Bombyx mori: one gene and its partners. The protein of the gene in region 2 binds, or shares a complex with, the protein of the main gene of each other region. Links are inferred from orthologs where the notes say so. Each region holds a gene or a part of one and is shown on either strand. Other genes may lie near its edges.

What was found. The genes of interacting proteins can lie anywhere in the genome.
Region 1: cyclin-C (region 2) and mediator of RNA polymerase II transcription subunit 21 share a complex: the UniProt entries of both Caenorhabditis elegans proteins name them as parts of the mediator complex. The link is inferred for Bombyx mori from reciprocal best matches to the Caenorhabditis elegans genes cic-1 and mdt-21.
Region 3: cyclin-C (region 2) and cdk8 share a complex: the UniProt entries of both Caenorhabditis elegans proteins name them as parts of the mediator complex. The link is inferred for Bombyx mori from reciprocal best matches to the Caenorhabditis elegans genes cic-1 and cdk-8.
Region 4: cyclin-C (region 2) and mediator of RNA polymerase II transcription subunit 7 share a complex: the UniProt entries of both Caenorhabditis elegans proteins name them as parts of the mediator complex. The link is inferred for Bombyx mori from reciprocal best matches to the Caenorhabditis elegans genes cic-1 and let-49.

What each region holds. Positions count from the first base shown.
Region 1 is NC_085122.1:11,557,259-11,562,884, reverse strand, and holds mediator of RNA polymerase II transcription subunit 21, read left to right. Parts: upstream 1-2,363; 5' UTR 2,364-3,252; coding exon 3,253-3,294; intron 3,295-3,372; coding exon 3,373-3,651; intron 3,652-4,440; coding exon 4,441-4,566; 3' UTR 4,567-5,362; downstream 5,363-5,626. UniProt on the Caenorhabditis elegans protein: Component of the Mediator complex, a coactivator involved in the regulated transcription of nearly all RNA polymerase II-dependent genes.
Region 2 is NC_085121.1:11,204,385-11,210,211, reverse strand, and holds cyclin-C, read right to left. Parts: upstream 3,499-5,827; 5' UTR 2,211-3,498; coding exon 1,620-2,210; intron 1,539-1,619; coding exon 1,446-1,538; intron 1,340-1,445; coding exon 1,217-1,339; 3' UTR 67-1,216; downstream 1-66. UniProt on the Caenorhabditis elegans protein: Component of the Mediator complex, a coactivator involved in regulated gene transcription of nearly all RNA polymerase II-dependent genes.
Region 3 is NC_085129.1:10,511,882-10,517,588, forward strand, and holds the start of cdk8 (cyclin dependent kinase 8), read left to right. Parts: upstream 1-2,444; 5' UTR 2,445-2,682; coding exon 2,683-2,928; intron 2,929-3,583; coding exon 3,584-3,835; intron 3,836-4,462; coding exon 4,463-4,652; intron 4,653-5,331; coding exon 5,332-5,545; intron 5,546-5,623; coding exon 5,624-5,707. Other genes in the region: uncharacterized protein LOC101736423, read right to left, coding at 747-870. UniProt on the Caenorhabditis elegans protein: Component of the Mediator complex, a coactivator involved in regulated gene transcription of nearly all RNA polymerase II-dependent genes.
Region 4 is NC_085119.1:10,079,720-10,085,541, reverse strand, and holds the start of mediator of RNA polymerase II transcription subunit 7, read right to left. Parts: upstream 3,264-5,822; 5' UTR 3,064-3,263; coding exon 2,878-3,063; intron 2,806-2,877; coding exon 2,537-2,805; intron 64-2,536; coding exon 1-63. UniProt on the Caenorhabditis elegans protein: Component of the Mediator complex, a coactivator involved in the regulated transcription of nearly all RNA polymerase II-dependent genes.

The DNA of each region.
Region 1 (5,626 bases), on a different chromosome or scaffold from region 2:
TTACGTTACCTTATGTCAAAACAATTTTCATGCTCTCGATTATGAGTATACTTGAGTTTCGAGAATGTAACAATTCGATTGCGAAACTAAAGTAAATAAATTCATTCGTGTTGCTTTATTGCTGACTAGCGCTCCGCTCCGGCTCCGTTCGGGTCTTTAACAAAAATTTCAACGATATATGACGTTGTTTTATTTTTTTAAATAAAAGAACACTTATTGCGGCATAACTATAATAGTTAGACATATCCTGTCGCGACACTTATTATAAATAATAATGTGTTCTACAAGGTGTAGTACATTATTTAATTCTATCATCAATCGTTTTCGCAGGGCACGCGATGTAAAGAATATTTTAGGTAATTTTTTTACACCTTGGGTTACATTATTGGAGTTTTAGTTAGTATTCCTAGATTATAGCCTATGTCACTCCGGAATAGAGTAGCTTCCAAACAGTGAAAGAATTATTCAAATCGGTTCAGTAGTTTCGGAGCCTATTCAATACAAACAAACACACAAATCTTTCCTCTTTATAATATTAGTATAGACTAGCGACCCGCCCTCGCTTCGCTTCGGAAACATTAAAACACACATGAAACCAAAAAAATAAAATCAGGGACAATGTCGGCTTCTAATGGAAAAAGAATTTTTCAAATCGGTCCAGTAGTTTCGGAGCCTATTCGAAACAAACAAACAAATCTTTCCTCTTTATAATATTAGTATAGAAGTATTAAGTATAAAAGTATAGATTAATTCCTTTAACGGACGGTAGTAGGGGCACTGTTTAAATCCTATCTATTTTTTCTCGATAGAGATACGAATACTTTTTCGATAGTCATTCGTGCTTGCCCTTCAGAGTGTAAAGCTTTAATGAGGATTGAAAATTTTATTAATTATAGCTAAATCCAATACTTAGCATGATTGTTTGCACTTGATTCTAAATGAAAAGTTAAGCTTTGTGATGCTCTCTAACAAAACTAATTGTGAATTGTTAAAACTATTTCATTGTGTGATTTTTTAAAAGTTTTAGTAAATAGTCATTACTTGTTGCTATGTTTATAACTATATTTATGCATAAAATTTGATAATAAATTGAGAATAGATCTATAATTTTAAGGTATTTGATAATAATTTTGGTACTATAGTGTGAAGCTTTGAAGTTTTCAAACAATTTATCTAAATTGTTTTAAAACATTTTTAATAACAATCACGAGGTTTTGTGTGTGTGTGTTTTTTTTTCTGTGCACAATTTAAAACCTCTGTCTTTGTAAATGTGGCCGCAAACGGGGGTTGCTAGCTGATAAAGATGGAAACCTAGATCCAAAGTAGAGTGAGAGAGTTAATGCGTAACATCGTTTGTCAGACAAGGATGGCGGTAGACAAACTTACCCTATTTAAAAATTAAAAACTAATGCGCATGCGTCGAGTGCTAGTTTATTCAACCAACTGCGCTCACTTTCTTACTTTACAAACGATAATTTAGTTAGGTACTCAAAAAAAAGTGGGAATTTTTATTTGCTATATTATTATGCTAATGAATTATATTCATATTGCTGTTATTAGTAAAGTTTTGTACTTAATTTATAAAAAAATTAGATGCTATGTTGGGTATGTACATACAGTACTCAAAAATCTAATTTAGCAATTTTCATTGTTGACTTCTAAGCAATTTAAATTCGATAACGGCGGATTTCTATCATAAAAATGTGATACCGCAAATGCTTAGTTATTTTTAAAGAGTGCAGGTTAGGCTGAAAGCTATCTAGTCTTTTATTGTTAATTCGTACGAGAATAGCGCGAAAGCGGTGATGGAAGTTTTTTTTCCTACCTATTCGGTAGCCTACACACACTGCGACGCAACTTCTTGATGAATTTTAGTTGTTACAAAAATGACGCGAGGATTTGATATTTACTTATTGCGCGACAGGAGGTGTTTGTTGATTGTAAAAAAAATGGCTTACACGAAACGAAAAGAAAAACGGAAAACTTTTACAAATTAGTAAAGTTCTGCCAATTTTACTATAGCACAGCTGCCTTAGATTGAATTAGACTAATAGTTGTAGTAGTCATTAAACAATAACATGTTTGAACACACAACCTCGTTATATCCGTAATGTGAATCCAGCTTATTGTTAATGTTGTTTCATTGAATAACTAAAATTTAAAAATAATCGTTTAAGGTCTGAAATGAAAGAGGTTCATTAATGGTTTTTTATTATACTTAAATACTCAATAATTGTGATGTTTTTCTAGTCGGTAATATTATGGTTACCTATTGTGTACACTGCTTACATTAAATAAAGGAAATTTTGAAATTCATTTCATTGCCTATAATTAAAGTTTTTTAATTTTTTTTATATGTAGATGGGTGGAAGAGCTCATAGTCCACCTGGTGTTAAGTGATACCGGAGCCCATAGATATCTATAACGTAAATACCGTCACCCACCTTGAGATATGAGTTCTAAGGTATACTTACAACGGCTGCCCCACCCTTCAAACCGAAACGTCAAGTGGTCCTGTTATTAGCAACATTACTATTTAGCTTATAATGTATATAACGGAGAAATGGTTTTCTAAATTTTAATACTGATGAGAATGATTGCAGTTCTAAATGTATTTTTTTATTGCCCTTGTAGGCAGACGAGCATACGGCCCACCTGATGGTAAGTGGTTACCATCGCCCATGGACTTCAGCAATGCCAGGGACAGCCAAGTCGCTGCCTACCGTTAAGTACTTTCCGCAAGCCTCGTTTGAAGAAGAATACGTCATAGCGCTCGGAAAACACCGTGGAGCGGAGCTCATTCCAAAGCCGTATGGTACGTGGCAAAAAAGATCTCTGGCTTAAAATGGCGTTACTATTCCAAATTAGGTACTGTTTTGCTGCACGCCAAAGTTAAACGATCGTAATATAATTGTTTCCTTACAGAACTTCAAGTTATTTGGATTTTAGATTAATGTCTCAAATGAATCAACTTTATTTCATTTCGCTCCATATGATCATTTTTCATGAAAGAGAATAGAATGTACATACAAAAGACTAGGATGTATGGTGTGTGATATCTTCGCCTTTCCACCTGGAAATATTGGAAATATTACTTAAAAACGTCATAACGTTCAACTTCAAATAACTTCATTCAAAAGGTAGTTTTACAAATTGATACTGTAGGTAGCTTAAAACCACCTTCCATAGAAAATATCCATATAAGGATTAAATTTTAACAGTGGTTAGTAGGATAAATATCTGAATTGAATAATGGCTGATCGCTTAACTCAGCTTCAAGATACCATAAACCAAGTACGTATGACAAAAATGAACATTTCGTTTTAATTGACATTAATACATTTCACATACGTTGTATTTATTTATTTGTAGCAAGCTGAGAATTTTTGTAACAGCATCGGAATTCTACAGCAGTTCTCGTTGCCTAGCAAGTTCCCAGGCTTCGAACGCGGTGGTTCTCAGACTCCTCAACAACCGCAGAGTCAAGAGGATTATGCGGTTTTATTCGCGGCTCTAATTTCTCGTTGTGCTAAGGACATTGACACGCTCATCGAGTCTTTGCCCAGTGAAGAGAGTTCAACTGAGCTGCAAGTGCAAAGCCTTCGGCGACTTGAGGCCGAGAACAAGGAGGCTGCTGAGCAACTTGAAGAGGTAAGGGCTGTCAACTCTCCGTGCCCAATACACGTGCAATTTATCTCAAAGGACACTAGCTTTCTTTTTTATCATAAATTGGGAATTATCATGTAACTAAACCATTAAAATAATGATTTTAAAGAAGTAATTATGCCATGCAGTTTGCTTTTGTATTGCCATTTGAATGTAAAATCAAATATTCCAAGAAAGTATTTGTATTACAGACATTGTATTTTGTCTATAGTCAACTTTTGTAATGTAAACAAGCACCAATATTTAAACATAAATTAGTACCTACTTAAGATAAAATTGACAGTAATAGCGATTTGGTTAAAGTTGTTTCCTTAACTTCATTTTGAGATGGCACACTGGAATTGTATCAGCGAATATTACTTTATTCAATTTTCAAAACCCATAGGGTGTTTACAGATTAATCTCATGTTTTAGATTGCCATGACTACAAAAACTTATAGTATTTGAAATATTGGAAGTAATCATATCGACGCTTGAAAGGCAAACGTGACTAAGCGACAATGCGTGAACTTCACAGTAGACTAATTTCAAGATGAAATACCTGAAAAAATTCTATTTTAACGAAACTAGCTGTAGGATTGAAATGATTTTAATAGACCTAGAAATATATTTTTTTTGGCATTGAATATGGTTATTGCCTATCATGTATAAAGCAGTTATTGTCGCTTAGTCACGTTTGCCTTTCAAGCGTCGATATGAAAATAATTACACATGACTTACTCTCTTTTCATTAGCGTTAATAATAATGTCAGACAATATTTAATAATTCTACAGGTAGTCCGTCAAGGAGAGATTCTTCTAGAGAAGATTCAGGGTGCTCTGAGTGATATTGCTCAGTGCCAGTTGGACATGCAGAATCCGGCTCTGATCCTCAACAAGGATGTGAAACCACAGTTATAGGGATGGGGTCTGGGGTTCTACCAACGGTAGTTTCCTCTACAAAAGGATACGTTAAAACAAGAATACACGGAAGTATTTTAGTATTATATGAATTTTAAAATTTTGTGTTTGAAATCTTAATGCTTAATGACGAAGATTTTTTTTTGTTGTTTGCAAATTTGTTACAGGGCTTTCATGCCGGTGAAAACTAAATTGTCTGAATGTCATATTTTTGAAACTATAATAAGAAAAACATTGGTATGACATATATCATTTTAAGTAATCATTTGTTATAATTGAATAGTTAAGTATACATGACTTGTTTATTCATTATTTTCTATTATTACGTAAGGCATACTTTAAGTCTGAAAGGGTAGGTACCGCCACTCTGCCTATACATACTGTAAAGCCGTTGTTTTCCAGTTTTGAAGCACAGGTTAGTTGTTGATGATGATTTTGAGATGAGTGGCGGCAATGACTGGGATCTCTGGGCTATGTTAATCTCTTAATATTAGATGAACTCGTTCATCTATATACATAAAATAAAATGAACACAAGGAAAAAGTAAAGGTGATTGTATTCAATGATGAACATGAGTTTTAATTAAATTAAAAAATATTTATGTTTTATGTTTAATTAATTTAATTAAGTTATTATGTTTAATTAAAGGTTTAATTTTTCTTTTTGTTGTACGCCCTGTATATGCTGGAATGGACTCGAATCTAAATATTAATATACTTTAGAGATTGGAAATAGAAAACTATAATCTTGAAATGAAAAAAAATCTATATGATTGAAAATAAATGTTGATAGCTAAGAGTGTTTTATTAAATCAAATGTTTTATTTGTATAAATTTCAATACTGATTCAATGGTAAAGAATAGTTTAATTTAGTAGAAGTAGTGTTCCTTCAGGTTTATATATGTATTAATGGTAGCTTATTTACATTTTAGCATCTCTGAAAGTGCACATGTGTGGGAAATTAGAACAAAGTTCCTATATGTGGCTTAACGGCTTCCTCCAAAAAGCGTCAGTAAATTCCCATCCTGTTACTGGGACGTTATTTCATTTTATCTCATCT
Region 2 (5,827 bases):
ACGAATATTATTTATAATAAAAAGTGAGTTAAAGATTTATTCTGAGGTAAATAACAACAATTACAGTATTGAAAAATAAGAATTTATTACATTAATATCTCCTAAAAAGACAGTACCAACAGTCTTAATTTTTAAAGATGCATTCCTATTATTTATTTTACATAATTAATCATGCTTACAAGAATAGCACAATTTTTAGTATAATAAACAATAATAGTTAAAATTGGTAAAAATATTTTTTATTTTATCATAATATTTCATTAATTGTTAATGGAACTTTATGGTTATTGTTAGAATTCCACAGGTGTCTATTATTATAGTACCACCAACGTACCATCAGTAACAAGAAATCAATGTTTTTCAAACCATTAACTACTCCCCAGTGTTATGTCAAATGTCATATATCTGCAGGTAATAGTGGAGCATGACCCCTAGTTTATATATAAATATTAATATTTATTTGTTTGTTCGTATTTTATGTGCCCGCGTCTATTGAATTCAGCCACTGCATAAAGTGCTCAATGTACAATTTCACCAATCATACTTTGACTATACATGACATAATTATTCCCTGAATTGCTAATAAGTTTTAACCTGAAATGTGTAACCAATAGTAATTTATACATATATATCTATTTAAAGGATCCACCTCATTTTCAATGTTCAAAATTGTTAATGTTGACAAATGTTGTAAAATGTGAACAAATGCAACACAGTTAATGAATGAAGTATCAATGCTCAAAAACATGCAGACAGATAAGACTAAATTCATTAGAATTGCCTTTTTTCTTTAGCTTTTGTCATCTTACTTATCTTTGTCAGTTTACTTATATGAACAATGTTATTGGGCAGCATAGCAATACAATGACATTATTTAAACATTAAACTTGAAATAAAGGAATAATTTACTTTTGTGTCTAAAGGCTACAATAGGATACAATAGTCTTAAATCACATAACAACCAATAAAGAGAGTATCTTTGGCTTGTGATGGAAAATTAAATAACTTAGTTCTTGTTCTTTTAATTTATGCTCTAAAGTGTGCTCTACACTGTATTTGTTTATGGTTGAAAAAATTCATAAAAATCACTTGAAATATAAGTGACCTCATCAAAAATAGTAATTTCTTTTCCTAGGGAATTAAAAACAAATTTTTCATGTCTACAATTAAAAATTATATATCCATTATACAAATCCATACTACAAAATATGTCTTGCTATCTCTGGGGAGCTGGCTTTGGTTTGGGCATCTTGGACAATAGCCCTTGTATTTCTTTTTTTTCATCATAACTTTTCCACATCTCATAAAGGTTAATGATAGCTCTCACAATTTCTTGGATCTGTAAATTTGAATTTTTAAATGAGTAGTTTCAGAAGTTTTGTAATACAACCACACAATAACCATATTTTTTTTAATTTTAATATATATTCAAGTATATTTCTCACTTTATCCATGTCAACATTTAGCTCAGCAAACCAAGGTTTGAGATTGTCTTTACCAAGCATCACACATGCTATTTGTAAGGCACCAATTGCAATCTGTAATTCAAAATATAATGGCAATGAAAAGTTTTATGAATAAAAAATGAAATGTGACTATTTGCATTACATAAATCATACCTGATAGGGTGGGTACAACAAACTAACATCTGTTCTCAAGGAATCGTTTACTATTCTCCAAGCGTATGTCAGAAGTTGATCATCTTGTCCTATGTCTTGGACAAAAAGTAGTAATGGTCTATATGGTTGGTATACAATTAAACAACAATCTAAATTTTCTAGTAAATAAAATTCACACTCCAGAATGTGATTTGTCCTGTACGGGAACTCTTGTTGTCCATAAGCATAACTAAACTTATTTTTTATAACTGTCTGGCAGGTTGTTATTAATCTGGAATTGGATATAACACCAAATTCTTCAACTTTAGATGCAAGAAATACGCATGTTGGTGCCAAAAGAAGTGGATCAATACACTTCAAAGAGTTCCTTGCATAAAATCTTTTAAAGTAAACTGTTGCAGTTGCGATTACTTGCTGACGAAGTTTAAGTTGTTCGCCTAAAACTTGAATTATACTAGCAAAAAAATTAAATACTTTTTGGTATTCTTCTTCTGATAAAATATTCAAATCAAACTGGCGATCGCGCCTTAGCTCTTGCTTATCGAGTATCCATTGTTGATGATGTGAGCTTTGCCAAAAATTTCCAGCCATTTCTTCAAAGGCAAAACACAATAATTATTAAAATTTGGTAAATTTTGATTTATCAAAAAAACATACTTTTTTTACAAATTTAACATTTTTCCATCCATTCCTATTCTATGAAACTTTTGAAACTGTGTATTTTAGTAATATGTATGCATAACCAGGGGGGTGCAACTCCCATACAAAGGAAAAGAACATTCAACTAGCGTCATCTTTAGGAACCGGCGAGGTCATTTTTGAAACGTTTTGGCCTTAATGATCTAATAAACTCACTAGATGGCAGGTACGAGTTCTGACTCAATAAAAAAGGTTAGCGTACTTTGAAGCAGTGCTTCCACTTTTAGGGAATTCTCCCTTTTTTAGGGAAAAATAGCTGATATTTTGGATGATAAAGACAATTTAAAAAATACCAGGATTTAGGATAGTTCGGGGTAAAAAGCAAAGCCTATACTAGTAACTGTTGTGAATTTTAAAATAAACGATAATTAAAGTAAAACAATGAACATTTTATTTTATGGAGAGAGAATGACATTAAGTCGAGTTGACAAGTAAAAGAATAAAACAGAGTTGTGTATAAAAACTATAAAGAAGGTTTGATTCAACAGTAACCCTCTAGTAAAGTAAATTATAGATTAAGCCACTGCTTTTTTCTTAGGGATTCCCCAGAATCCCAATAAGTATAATCCGCCAAACTTTTATTTACCTATTTTCGTTGATGTCACCAGAACTTACTTGTATTGTAATATACAGGTACTTCATGTACCATGAAAGATTATCATGGTAATTTCATTTACGAAAACCTTGTAATTGTCATTTCACTTTTGCTAGCAGTTCCTTCTTCAAAGACTGAGGTGGAAAGATAATTCAGTGTTCTCAAATGTAAAAACTGACAAAAGAAACAGGCTTTCTAATGAAACCCTGAACGGCTTGCTTCATAGAAAGTTCCCAACTTTGCCAGCAAACAATTGCTCAATTTTAGAACCGAACAGTGTTAGGTTGCGTGCAGCAAAAGAATATAAAAGCAATGCGTCGACTTCCTTGAAAATTCTAATCCTATATATCTATGATCTTCTGGGGGCGTTTATATTATATATACCTACATTAAATAATATGCTGTGGTTTATTTTCTGTATTTTATTTATACTTTCTATATAAAGGATTTATGAAAGTTGTCTAGGAAATTTTAGGGATAAATTCAAAAGAAACTAGGGTAAAATGTGTTTAAAAAAACGTAAGTGGAAACACTGCTTTGAAGTTTTCAAAATTCCAGGGCCGTAAAACAATCTCAAAAAAAAAAAAAAACGTTTTCAAAATGTCGTAACGATTTAATTTTTTAAATCGTTTTTTTTTTGTCTTGGTGTGAGTTATTTTACGTTGTAGTATTAATTTAGAGCATCTTTTAGCTTTATGAGAATATTAGACGATTAGACATTGAGAAACTCTGTTTTGAATTCTCTTTAGACATAACTTGGTTCCAATACTTTTTTCTTCGTTAGCGTTTCGTAAGCCTGTGTAACTATTTTCGTTTCTTACAGAAAGTTTATTATTAAAAATCAGCATGCCTCGAAGATCGAAAATGAAATGCTATTTCGGATGCCTTGATAACGGTGAGTTTACACTATTTTCCCGGTATATTATTTGCTAACAGAATTATTATTCATAATATAATTAAATGAATTAGCACCAACTAATGGTCCTTCCTATTTCTGCTGCCTAGCTATCATATATGTTAAGTTTGATCAAAACAGTCGGTGTTAAGTCTCGTACTATCACACACACACCTCAGATAATAAAATTGTCTCGAGTGGGTGGAAGTATTTATGTTTTGCAACTCAGCGTATTATATGCTTATTGTCAAGTGGGCCCGAACTAGTTTTTTGGAATGGAATAAACAGGAAAGCATGACTGATTGATAGTCATGCTTTCCTGTTTAAATAAAATACAGCACAATTGATCTCACATCCAAAGTTAAATGATGGCATTCACATTTTGTTTCCTGGTGTTTGATAACCAAGTTACACCAAGTGGCCTGTGACCACGTTCATCCTTCTACCCAATATAAAATAATGTTTTTATTTTTGTAGACAAAGGTTTGATAATGACAAAATTTTATGGAAAAATTATAAGGAGCACTAAAATGTCTGAAACATGAAAAGATTGATGCACTATATTTGAACCAGAACGTGTTATGTAATATATTAATTTGTAAGTATGATTACATTAACACTAAATTTTTCATGGTCGTATTTTTTCAATATTTGTTACATACTTAAGATACTTTGTTTCTCCGTTTCAGAAGAGAAACTGATTCAGCAAGGAATGTGAACTCACAAGGGATCTTAATTTTTTTTAAATATGTTTATAATTTATAAATTAATAATTGAAATAGTTCATAAGAACTAAATTGATGCCAATTTTGTTTTAAAATAGGTTGTTTAGTTCTTATAGTTATACTATTACGTTTTGAATAGTTGTAATTAGTAAGTTAGTAATATATGAAAATACTGATATAAATTTTTGTAAATGAGCTTTTGTAAATTCTACGAGAAGATGATTTTAATTAATGATCAAAAGTCAACGATCTTCAAAAGCATTATTTGCAATTATTTAGATTAACTGTGGAATATATTTGCTAAGTTGTGTTTTCTGTATGAGCAGATATAAATGAAAATGCCCAAACATGATTATGTTTCTTACATTTTCATTATGTGAAATCAATATGCTTGTGACTGAGTATATTAATAATTTATTAAAACTTAAGTGATAGACAGCAACCCCTATGGCACTGCTGAAGTTTATAAGCACTGGTGACCACTTATCATGAGCCGGGTTGTGTGCTCGTCTGCTGTTGAGTGCAATAAAAATTTTCGAGACCCTTTCTATTATTTAGATGTAATATTAATGTACATTTAATTTGGATTAAAAGATAAATTTACATTTTATGTTTGCATGTGTATGTTTATAATTCATTTGCATGTAACGAACATCAGTTTCTTTTGTAACAAAATGCAAACTAATGGTTTGTAATGAATGTAATTAACTTTAAGATGATTTTCTTTCAATCTGCTGTTTGTTTCATCTAGTATTACCAAAGCTAAAGCATCAGAAACGTCAGAATAGAAATAATTTAGATAAAGAATAAAAGTATAACTATTGTAATCATGTCTAAGATTACTATAAGTGTCATTAAGTACAAACTATCAATATTTAAGAGTACTTTAAATCATCATTACATTTTTTAAACATTTTTTGTTTTTTTTTTGTTTTTCAAATCATGTAACAAAACGTTTGTGCAGAACAAAATGTCACATGTTATGAACATGATTGTGGGTTAATCGTTTCTTAAATTTCTAAATGTTTATAAGAATGCTAAGAATAATTTAGTATTCACTTTAGTGTGTGTATTATCTCTACAATGCTAGTTTAAATGACAATTATTGTATGACGAAGCATAGGTAGTATTTATAGATGTAATATTTTCATACAAGGTCATGATCTGTCACGATCAACTTTAAGCAAGAACTGCTATCATTAAGAAACAAATTTATTAAATTTAATTCAAATTGTCTACTATGTTTATAATGGAAAGCTGACATGTTTATATTTCGCACAAATGACTTAATTGA
Region 3 (5,707 bases), on a different chromosome or scaffold from region 2:
GCACTAGTCACTTCTCTTTTAAATAACTCCCATTTCGTTTTTGTGTTTTATTTATTTTACTATTCAGATTATTATTATTTTTCCTCCAATAACATCTATTACCATTATGTTAGAAGAGGGTAATAGATTTCAGTACTAATTACTGTCCCTTCACAAATTACATCAATTTAATTCCCAAATTAAGTAATACTGTTATGCTTTAGAAAGAAATAGAATAGATTCTTAACATTTTGTCTGAGTTTTAGTGTCATTATATACAGAAATGGAATGAAAACAAAATTAACATATATTCATAAACATTATTTTACAAAAATTATAATACCTAAGTTTATGTTAAAAACTATTTTATTTAATAAAATTGCAAATGCTTATTTTTCTACTCTATTTTGGACAAATAAATAAAAACAATACAAGTTAACCAACTAATTGTAAAGGTCCACCACTAAAAAACAAAATAAAAAGCAGTAATTCAACACAACAAAAAATTTGCTACGCAATCAATCACTACGTTAATGAGTGTTGCTATGGAAACCAATCCCTTAAACTGGGTTCCCAGAATGCGTTGTTATTGACAACAGCCAGGGACCATGCATCTATCGATAGCTTTATTTATGTTTGCAATCAGAGGGTGGAAAATCAATACCGCGATTACCTGGGGATGGGGTAGCGTTTGTGCAATTACTAAAGGACCTAAGTACCTGGTATGTACAAGGTACATTTAATAACATAAAATATCAGTTACTTACGATTGCCGCAGCAGCTTTCAGCAATAGTTACAATCACATCATTACTCACAATGTTTCCAAACATATTCGTTAAAACATCAATTGCGTTTACTATATTTTCATCACTGTTCCCTTGGTCCTCCATTGTGACTTCTAAAGTGTAACAACTCACACTGGACTGGACATTAAATAATATAAAATGAAATTATTTACCTTGATAAATATGAACACGTTTATTTAATAACAAAGACTAGTAAACAAATTTGTTTAAGCATAAAGATGAAATCCATAAACCTGCTGACCATTGTCCGACTATTGCGAAGTGAATTTATTTTGACACCACACCACAGATAAATTTAGACATATTGACACTGGCAACTGTCAATTAACAGTATTGTAGTAGTAGTAGTAGTTATATTTTTCCAACTATGAAGGCAAAAGTATCATACCATACACCTTAATCGGTTATAATTTTTTTATGAAAAATGATAATATGAAGTGAAATGAAATGAAGATGATTAATTTGTAACATTAATCAATTGGCACGAAATTAAATGAAATAAGATGAGATGATATGGGATCCACTGAAAAAATCTCAGTAAATGACCACCATTTTTCTGAGATTATATTATTTCATGCTATATCATCTCATTTCATTTCATCCCGGTTGATTAATGTTACAAATCAATCGTCTTCATTTCATTTCATTTCACTCCATATTATCATTTTTCATAAAAATAAGAATATAAATTAAAATAAGACATGACTTAAAGGTCTTAGTTACCCGGACATAAATTACCATAAATAATTTGGCGGGAACGCGAGGAGTGAAGTTGTGTGATTTGTTTTTTTTGTCTATTTAGTGTTTCTTCAGGTTTAAATGTGTATTAACAGTGGCTTATTAATTGTTTAATATCTGTGAAAGCGCACAAATGTGGGAAAATGAAACAAAGCCGCTGAACGTAACTTCTCGGGATCCTCCAAAAAGTCCACTTCAAAAGTCTTAGTGAATGACCACCAGTTTACTGAGATTTGAAATATAATCCCATATCATTTCATCTCGTTTCATTTCACTTCGTTTTCATTGTATTTCATTTCGTTTTCATCTCATTTCATTTCTATAATTTTTCATATTAAACAAAAGTTTTCATTAAATTAAAATAAGACTTGACTTATAAGTCTTAGTTACCAGGTCGTAAAATCCCTTAAAAATATGCATATGGCTACTTTAATGATCACAGATGAAACTTAAACTTTTTGGCGGGAACGCGAGGAGTGAAGTTGTGTGATTTGTTTTATTTTGTCTATTTAGTGTTTCTTCAAGTTTAAATGTGTAATAACGGTGGTTTATTAACTGTTTAATATCTGTGAAAGTGCACAAATGTGGGAAAATGAAACAAAGCCGCTGGACGCAACTTCTCGGGATCCTCCAAAAAGTTCACTGAAAAAATCTTAGTAAATGACCACCATTTTACTAAGATTATATTCATCCTATATCATCTCATTTCATTTAATTTCATCCCAGTTGATTAATCATTTTCATTTCATTTCCCTCCATATTATCATTTTTCATAAAAATAAGAATATAAATTAAAATAAGACATGACTTAAAGGTCTTAGTTACCAGGTCATAAAATCACTTAAAAAAAAGCAGATGAAACCATAGATTATACACTTAATTTATTTGAGAATGAAACTTAATTTAATTATTTAAGCTAGTTTTAGTGTTTTAATTTAAAGATTTAGGCTAGTATAGATATAATTTGCACTCATGAACTAGATATAACGGCTTTTTCACTAATTCACGGAGAATAATGTTATAACGTAGTGATTACTTGCTCAGTGAATAACGTCTTGTATATAACTTGTGAGGGAAGGTATTCAAAATGATTTAAAGTGTAATAAAATATAAATCCTAATTAGTCAGGGATCCAAACTGCATTTCCCGACCGTAACAATGGGAGACAACTTTCAAAATAAGACCATGGCGGCTGTGATGATGGACTACGATTTCAAAATCAAGACTCAAAATGAACGTTCCAAAGTGGAAGACTTGTTCGACTATGAGGGCTGTAAAGTAGGTAGAGGTACATATGGCCATGTATATAAAGCCAGAAGGAAGGATGGCTCCGATACCAAAGATTATGCTTTGAAACAAATTGAAGGAACTGGACTTTCTATGTCAGCATGTAGGGAAATTGCTGTAAGTATAAATACAACATAATTATTTCATTTAAGTAATTTGTTTTTAATTTTAAATAAAAATTTTAAATTTTAAATAATTTATATCTGTATAAATGTGAATTTATTACCATAATAATATGTTCTATGGGGAGTGCTATGAGGAACTGTTTGAAATGATTCCATCATCTCGTTTTTACCATCGCACCGCCGACCACCGAAATAGAGTTTGTCCACACTACCTTGAGCCACTCAGTTCATCCACAGTGTGTTTCCATACATATTTTTGCCATGTACCATACGGCTTTGAAATGAGCTCCCCTTCATGGTGTTTCCGAAGCGCTATGACATGCCCTTCTTCAAACGAGGGCTGTGGAGAGTACTTAACAGTAGGCAGGGGCTTGGCTAAGCCCCTGGCTGAAGTCCATGGATGACGGTAACCACTCACCATCACCATGTAAAAAATTTGCATATTTTGATTCTTGTTTCTATTATTATTTCAAATAATATGTTCATGGGATATTACACCTATTTTGATTGTGTTGTGTTGTATAATTATTGTGTACTGTAAACAAACATTGCATTATCAGCTGTTTTTCTACTTCATATTCGGTCTACAATATAGTAGTGTGGTTTAGATCATAATAAAAAAGTTCGTGTAACAATTTATTTTCTAGCTATTAAGAGAGTTGAAACATCCTAATGTCATAAATCTTATTAGAGTGTTTCTTTCACATACTGACCGAAAAGTCTGGCTGCTATTTGACTATGCAGAACATGATTTGTGGCATATAATCAAATTTCATAGAGCAGCTAAAGCTAATAAAAAATCAGTTATGGTGCCAAAAGGAATGGTGAAGAGCCTCCTCTATCAGATATTGGATGGGATACATTATTTACATTCAAACTGGGTTTTGCATCGAGATCTGGTGAGTGTGATGTATATAGTAATATTTATAATGATGAATCGTTCACATACTATGAGTTCATGTTGTATTGAAATTGTAATTTATACTAAATTAGATAACATAATATATAAAAGTATAATAAATATTATATTAAATAAATTACTATAATTGATAGAAATTCTACTGTTGGCCTGGAAGAGATTAGAAAGACTAGGACGGCAGTCTTACTAATCTCTTTTTGTGTTGAATGATGTGCATTTGTTGTTTTTTTATTTATTTATTACTAGCTGACCCGGCAGACTTTGTAGTGCCTCAATCGATAAATAAAAGACCCAAACTTTTGCATAAAATAAACTTAAAACAAACAGAAGGAATCCGTCCGACGGGGGACATATCAAAGGAAAAACAAAATTGTTATTTTTATTTAATTCCGAACATTTTCATATTTATCTACCTTTTAAACCTCTGGACTTCCACAAATAATTCAAGACCAAAATTAAGCCGTTCTCGAGTTTTAGCGAGACTAATGAACAGCAATTATTTTTATATATATAGATTATTTTGGTGTACCATAAATCAAACTTAATGAATCGATAAATATTATTTTTGTTCAATATCAATATATGTTATTTACAATTAATACTCCAGAAACCAGCCAACATATTAGTAATGGGTGAAGGACCGGAGCGTGGCCGAGTTAAAATAGCTGACATGGGATTTGCAAGATTATTCAATGCACCTTTGAAACCACTTGCTGACTTAGATCCAGTAGTAGTCACATTTTGGTACAGAGCTCCTGAACTGTTGCTTGGTGCCAGACATTACACTAAGGCCATAGGTATATATTTTATTACTCTTACAATAATTCACCTACAGCCACATAAAATTAAGTACTTACCTTTTACTTACTTAAGTAATTTTTACTTAATTGACGTCTACACTTGGCAGGTAAAACACCTTCTCTTCAGCATGGAATTAACAACTTGGTAGCACTTTATTAAATTCATCATTATTTAAATAAATCCCAAAAAGCTTAGAAAATAAAAACTATTATACTATTTTCATTTTTGGATTGTTACTTAACATAGCTAAAATTCATCTGAAATTTCAGTAAACCCGGTCGGTAATTGTGCATTCTGTGAACTACATACCATATCAGTAGTTCATTGTAAACATAAAATATAATGTAATCGAAGAAGAATATAGAAAGATTCCCACCCCATGACACTTGTTCAAAAATATCAGGATATGGGACTGCAGTAGGCCAAGGCGGCACTCAATTATTTTGAGCTCATGAAGTATAGACTCATTGGTGCAAAATATTATATGTGTATTGTAATGTTAAAATGTTGTTCTTTCACGTCAATACAAACCAATGGATTGACATGATTTTTTTTAAAGTGAAAGTATTCATACTGATACTTTTCCTGGACGAAATGTGTAGAGCCACGGTTTAAAACCAAGTCAAAAGAGATGTAAAAAAAAAAGTAATTTAAGAAAATCTCATTTATTTGCAGATATTTGGGCCATAGGATGTATATTCGCAGAACTATTAACATCTGAACCTATTTTCCATTGTCGCCAAGAAGACATTAAAACAAGCAATCCATATCATCATGATCAACTAGATAGAATATTTAATGTTATGGGATTTCCACTTGAAAAAGATTGGGAAGATATAAGGAAAATGCCAGAACATGCAACACTAGTTAAGGATTTCAAGAGATCAAAGTAAATTGAAAAACAAATATTTTGAGGATGCATTGGTCTAAAATGAAATTAAATTTAATATGTTCATATTCATTACAGCTACCAGAACTGCTCACTCAGCAAATATATGGACAGGCATAAGATTAAGCCAGATAGTAAAGCTTTTAGTTTATTACAAAGACT
Region 4 (5,822 bases), on a different chromosome or scaffold from region 2:
TCTGGTAAGCTTTGGAGAGCATTCTGTAAAATATCCTGTACCTTGTCTAAGTGTTTCTTGAATCTGAAAGAACAGACTTTATTAGCTCTTATAACTGGATTAGGTTCCATGGATACCAGCATCTTGTCTATTTTTTGCTTCAGAGAATTCACACATTAAACCAAAGTCAAGCAACAATGGTCCGAATGGAAATTTAACTTGTAAGGTAACAGCTGTCCATCCACAAAAACACGACGATAAACAACAAATAATTTTCGAGTTCAATCTTGTGTTATAATATACTAGGCTGCACTAAAAGTATCGGGAATGGAATATTTCTACTGTTCCTGTCATATTAAAATCTTTTTAATTGAAAACTCCTTGGTTTTAAAAATCGAATACCATTTATTTATTTTAAAAAAGATTCTCGGTCTTGTCACGAGGTTTTGTCAAACTTGTTTAGTCGTTGAGAAAATGGAATTGACTCGAGAAAATTCAAGAGCGATGATTTATTATGACTTTCGAAGTGGTTTAACACAAAAACAGTGTGTTGACCGGATGATTTCTGTATTTGGTGATGAAGCCCCATCCAAAACCACAATTTATCGCTGGTTTGCTGAGTTTCAACGTGGACGTGTCAAGCTCAGTGATGATTCCCTTCAAGGTCGTCCAAAAACTGCAGTCACCCAAGAAAACGTTGATGCTGTGCGTAAGCTGATTGAGGAAGATCGACATGTGACATACCGCGAAATTCAGGCAACTTTAGACATTGGCATGAGTCAAATACAAATAATCTTGCATGAACAATTAGGTGTAAAAAAGTTGTTTTCCCGATGGATACCGCATTCGCTCTGTGAAGAGCAAAAAGCGGCTCGCGTTACTTGGTGCGTCAGAACTCTCGAAAGATTCCACGCAGGATCCTCAAATGCTGTATACAACATTGTATCAGGTGACGAATCCTGGATATACGCGTACGAACCCGAAACAAAAAACCAGTCACGAGTTTGGGTGTTCGAAAATGAGTTAAAGCCAACAAAAATTGTTCGTTCACGGAGTGTTGCAAAAAAAATGGTGGCCACGTTTGTCTCCAAAACCGGCCATGTTACGACTATTCCTCTTGAGGGACAAAGAACGGTTAATGCAGAATGGTATGCTAGCATTTGTTTGCCACAGGTCGTTTCTGAACTCCGTAAAGAGAACTGCAACCGCCGCATCATCCTCCATCACGACAATGCGAGTTCTCACACCGCGCACAGAACAAAAGAGTTTTTAGAGCAAGAAAACATAGAATTATTAGACCATCCGCCGTACAGCCCCGACCTAAGCCCTAATGATTTCTATACTTTCCCTAAAATAAAGAATAAATTGCGTGGACAGAGATTTTCATCACCTGAAGAAGCTGTAGACGCCTACAAAACGGCCATTTTGGAGACCCCAACTTCCGAATGGAATGGTTGCTTCAATGATTGGTTCCATCGTATGGAAAAATGTGTCAAATTTCGCGGAGAATACTTCGATAAGCAATAAATACATTTTTAAATAGTAACTTCGTCACTTCGTTAATTCCCGAAATTTTCAGTGCCGCCCTCGTAGTATCAGTAAACAATATCTGCTAATTTCTTTTTTTTTATATTAAAATATTTTTGTATATTACTCAAAACAGTTCAAATTTGGAAATCTCTAAAAAGTGCAGAGGGCAGATTTTGGTTTGAAAAAGATGATATGACATTATGAATACTAAAATTTTTTTATTGAGACAAGTTTAAGGTTTTTTACTGGTGGTGGTAGGACCTCTTGTGAGTCCGCACGGGTGGGTACCACCACCCCGCCTATTTCTGCCGTGAAGCAGTAATGCGTTTCGGTCTGAAGGGTGGGGAAGCCGTTGTGACTATACTGAGACACCTTAGAACTATAACTCAGGGTGTGTGGCGCATTTGCTTTGTAGATGTCTATGGGCTCCAGTAACCACTTAACACCAGGTGGGCTGTGAGCTCATCCACCCACCTAAGCAATAAAAATAAAAAAAAATTAAACTCATTACAAATCTGATTTTCATTATTCTGCTTCAATATCAAACATTGGGAGAACTTAATATGACTTTGTGTTTAACAGCCTATGGTAAGATTAAACACAATAAATTTATTCAGGTTCTACTAATTATAAATAAATTAACATAACATTGATGGGCAAAATGTCTGGGAATCTCAATCATGAAGGTACTGTGGTAACAGATAAAAATGTCTAATCACTAGTGGCACCTAATGTTTCCAACCAGTGAAAATCCAACCAGTGAAATTTAAATCAGACTTTCACATTACCACCCAATTAAAGATCATATTATAATGTTAAAGCCTAAAATAATAAAGGATAAGTCACACACTTAATGGTTATATCATGTGTGTGGCAAAAACATAACTTAAATATTTATGTTGGCATCTTTTTTATTTTGTCATTTGTGATCTGAGATCTATCTTTATTTTCTAGAATGGTTCCTTGGTGTCCAGTATAGATATAGTAGAAACACCAACATATGACAAATTAACGCTATTAATAGTACCTTGCTGCAGTTTCAACCCTCTGTCTTTTCTGCAATTCCATCATTACTCTCAATGTTTCTCTTGCTTGGTGTGGCCTAAATTCATTTAGAAGATGATGTATATGAATAAATAACAAACTTAGGTCTTCTACTTTTTCTGCTCTCTTTGGAGAATCTGGACAATGAACAAGCAAATCCAACAAATCCAGAAAATTTGCCAGCAGTGAATGGTTAAGTTTCTTCAATTCTCTTCTTCGTTCAAAATGCATAGGATACAATCTTCGAAATCCCTGAAGGAATTTTTTACAACGAATTATTTACATAAACATTTGTGTTTGTAAACTAGTTGTTTTAGGACTTACCTGGCTTTCTAACGAACGTATAATAGCATCATCAGCGTTAAAAGAATTACCAAACATTGAATAAGAATCATGAATAGGTCGAGGTGGTAGAGGAGCTCTATTTCTTCTAACATTTTCATCCGTGTAAAAATTTATATATTGCATTGGAGGCAGAGGTAAAGAGCTAACTTGAGCTGTCTCTGACATTGTGAACCGGGAATCCGTACGTACGATTCTAGCAAACACTTAATAAAAACGGAATATGCCTATATTTACAAAAAAAGATTTACATACTCTTAAATATTGTGTTAAATTGAAGAAATTTATTTTAAAACAACTTTACACACTACAGTATGAAATGTATGAATTATTATGAGCTTTGTCTATGCTTTCTAAAAAATAAGTGTTTAATCTATGCTTTAGTATGCTTTTTTTGTTTGATTGGCCTTATGGATAAGCAAAGGGAACATAGCTCATATATTCCAATTTTTGCCACCAAGGTCGAAGGTGTTGTGAAAGTTAAATGAACTTCAATTTAGAGGTGAGTTTATGACAACACCGTAAGTGTGGACAAAATGAAGTGAAGTAATTTTTCGCTAAAATTCTGAGAATGTACTGAGTGTTCAATGAACCTTTAGAAAAAAAAAATCCCGAACTGATTTTTGTCGAAAGATTTTTGATGTTTTATAACCAAAAAGAAATTTCATGTAAACAATTTGGCTTTTATAAATAAAATAAAAAAGATGTTTTATGGGCTTTGTTCCTTTAGCTTTCGCAAGTCGTGGAGACAATTAACTATTAAGGATGTTACAGGAAAGATTGGCAACAAACTTAGGGGTGGGGTGTGTCTATAAAATCATTTAAAATGGTTTCATAAAATGTATCACACAAGAAAATCAATGAGTAACTAAGATCTGTTAAGTGTATTATAACTTTGCAAGATTCTGGTGTCTGGATTGAGCTGGATCAATTGGATTATAGCAGTAGGCTCTCATACAGAGGACAATATTTTAGGTGTGTGGCGCATTTACGTTATAGATGTCTATGGGCTCCAGTAACCACTTAACACCAGGTGGGCTGTGAGCTCGTCCACACATCTCAGCAATAAAAAATAAAAAAAATTAAAAGGCACATCGCGATTGCGATTAAGTGGATACACGAAACTGCAGTTTGACAGTGTGGCGGGTAGCCATCATACAACGCAAGATGATTGACGGATGCCTGAATCTCGCTTACGACATTTTCAAGATCAGCTTGCTTATATACAAGTTCCGAACAACAACATTCGGACCGTCGGTCTACAGAGCAATTATCACCCGCTCGGTGGAAGATCTTCCCTTTATCGTATATCTACAGTAATAGTTGGCCCTACTGCAAAGCATGCTTTCTGTGGCGGATGCCTAAGTTTCGAGCTCTGCCTTATCTTGAAAATGTCGTAAGCGAGATTCAGGCATCCGTCAATCATCTTGCGTTGTATGATGGCTACCCGCCACAGACAGCATGTTTTGCAGTAGCGCCAACTATTAAGACTTGAAAAAATTCAATTATTCGCTAAAGACAATAAAAGTAGTTTTATTTACATTTCATACGTAATTGTATAACCCAAATAAAAAATGAAAAATGAAATAAAATATCTAATTTAGCAGACCTTTGGCAGGAATTCGGGATGTAAGTTTTATGAATTATTTTATTTGATCTGTATATTTTATATAATTTATAAAAAAATTCTTCAGTTTTAATCCAAGTTAAATTTCTTTTCATAATTAGTTCCATTTAATTTTTCATTAAATAAACATGGTGTGAGATAGGTATGTTTAGATACCAAATAATAATAATAATAATAAGAGTATTTTAGATCGCATAACCGTATGGAGGAGCAAGGAGTTACACGGTAGGTTCTACCGGGCTCTCACAGGGCCTGATGTAGACCAATTAGCTTCCGTGGCCTGGTTACGATTCAGTAACCTCTTTGGGGAAACTGAAGGTTTTATCTTTGCAATTATGGACGAAGTTATCATGACGAACAACTACCGGAAATATATTATATTAAAGGATGGGACGGTCGACATTTGTCGGGCATGCCACCGTCCGGGAGAGTCTATTAGACATATTGTTTCTGGATGTTCTCGGTTTGCTAACGGCGAGTACTTGCATAGACATAACCAAGTGGCTAGGATTATCCATCAACAACTTGCTCTGAAATATGGTTTTCTTGATTCTGCTGTACCTTATTACCAATACCAACCTCAACCAGTTCTTGATAATGGTCATGTTACGCTCTACTGGGACCGATCTATTATCACGGATAGGTATATTGTTGCCAATAAACCTGATATTGTGATAATAGATCGATCTGCACGTCGAGCAGTGTTGGTTGATGTCACCATTCCTCATGACGAGAACCTCGTGAAGGCAGAAAAGGACAAATTAATAAAAAATTTAGACCTGGCCCACGAGACTACCGCCATATGGCATGTTGATTCAACCATCATTGTTCCAATAGTTGTATCGGTACACGGCTTGATAGCGAAAAGTTTCGATCAACATCTTAAAAAACTTTCGTTATCCAGCTGGGTTAAGGGCCAAATACAGAAAGCAGTTATCCTCGATACTGCACGCATTGTGAGGAGGCTTCTCACTCTGGAGTCCTAACCACTGGTGGCTTGTGTCGTAGACACCGCCATCAGCGGCAATCTATTTTTATATAGTGTTTTTAAAAAATTGTATTATTAATATCTTTTTTAAAAAATATTATGTAATTAATAAGATTTTAAATAAATATTAATAAACAATAATAATAATACGAGCCGATTCTTTGGCCTTAGATAATACCGTTAATTGTTTTTGGCTTTAAAACAGAAGACTTGGGGGCTGTATGGGCTACGTTCCTCTCTATCGAATATTTAAATTTAAAATAAAAAACTAAATTATCCTACAGTGTATAATATGTTCCTTTTTTTAGCTAT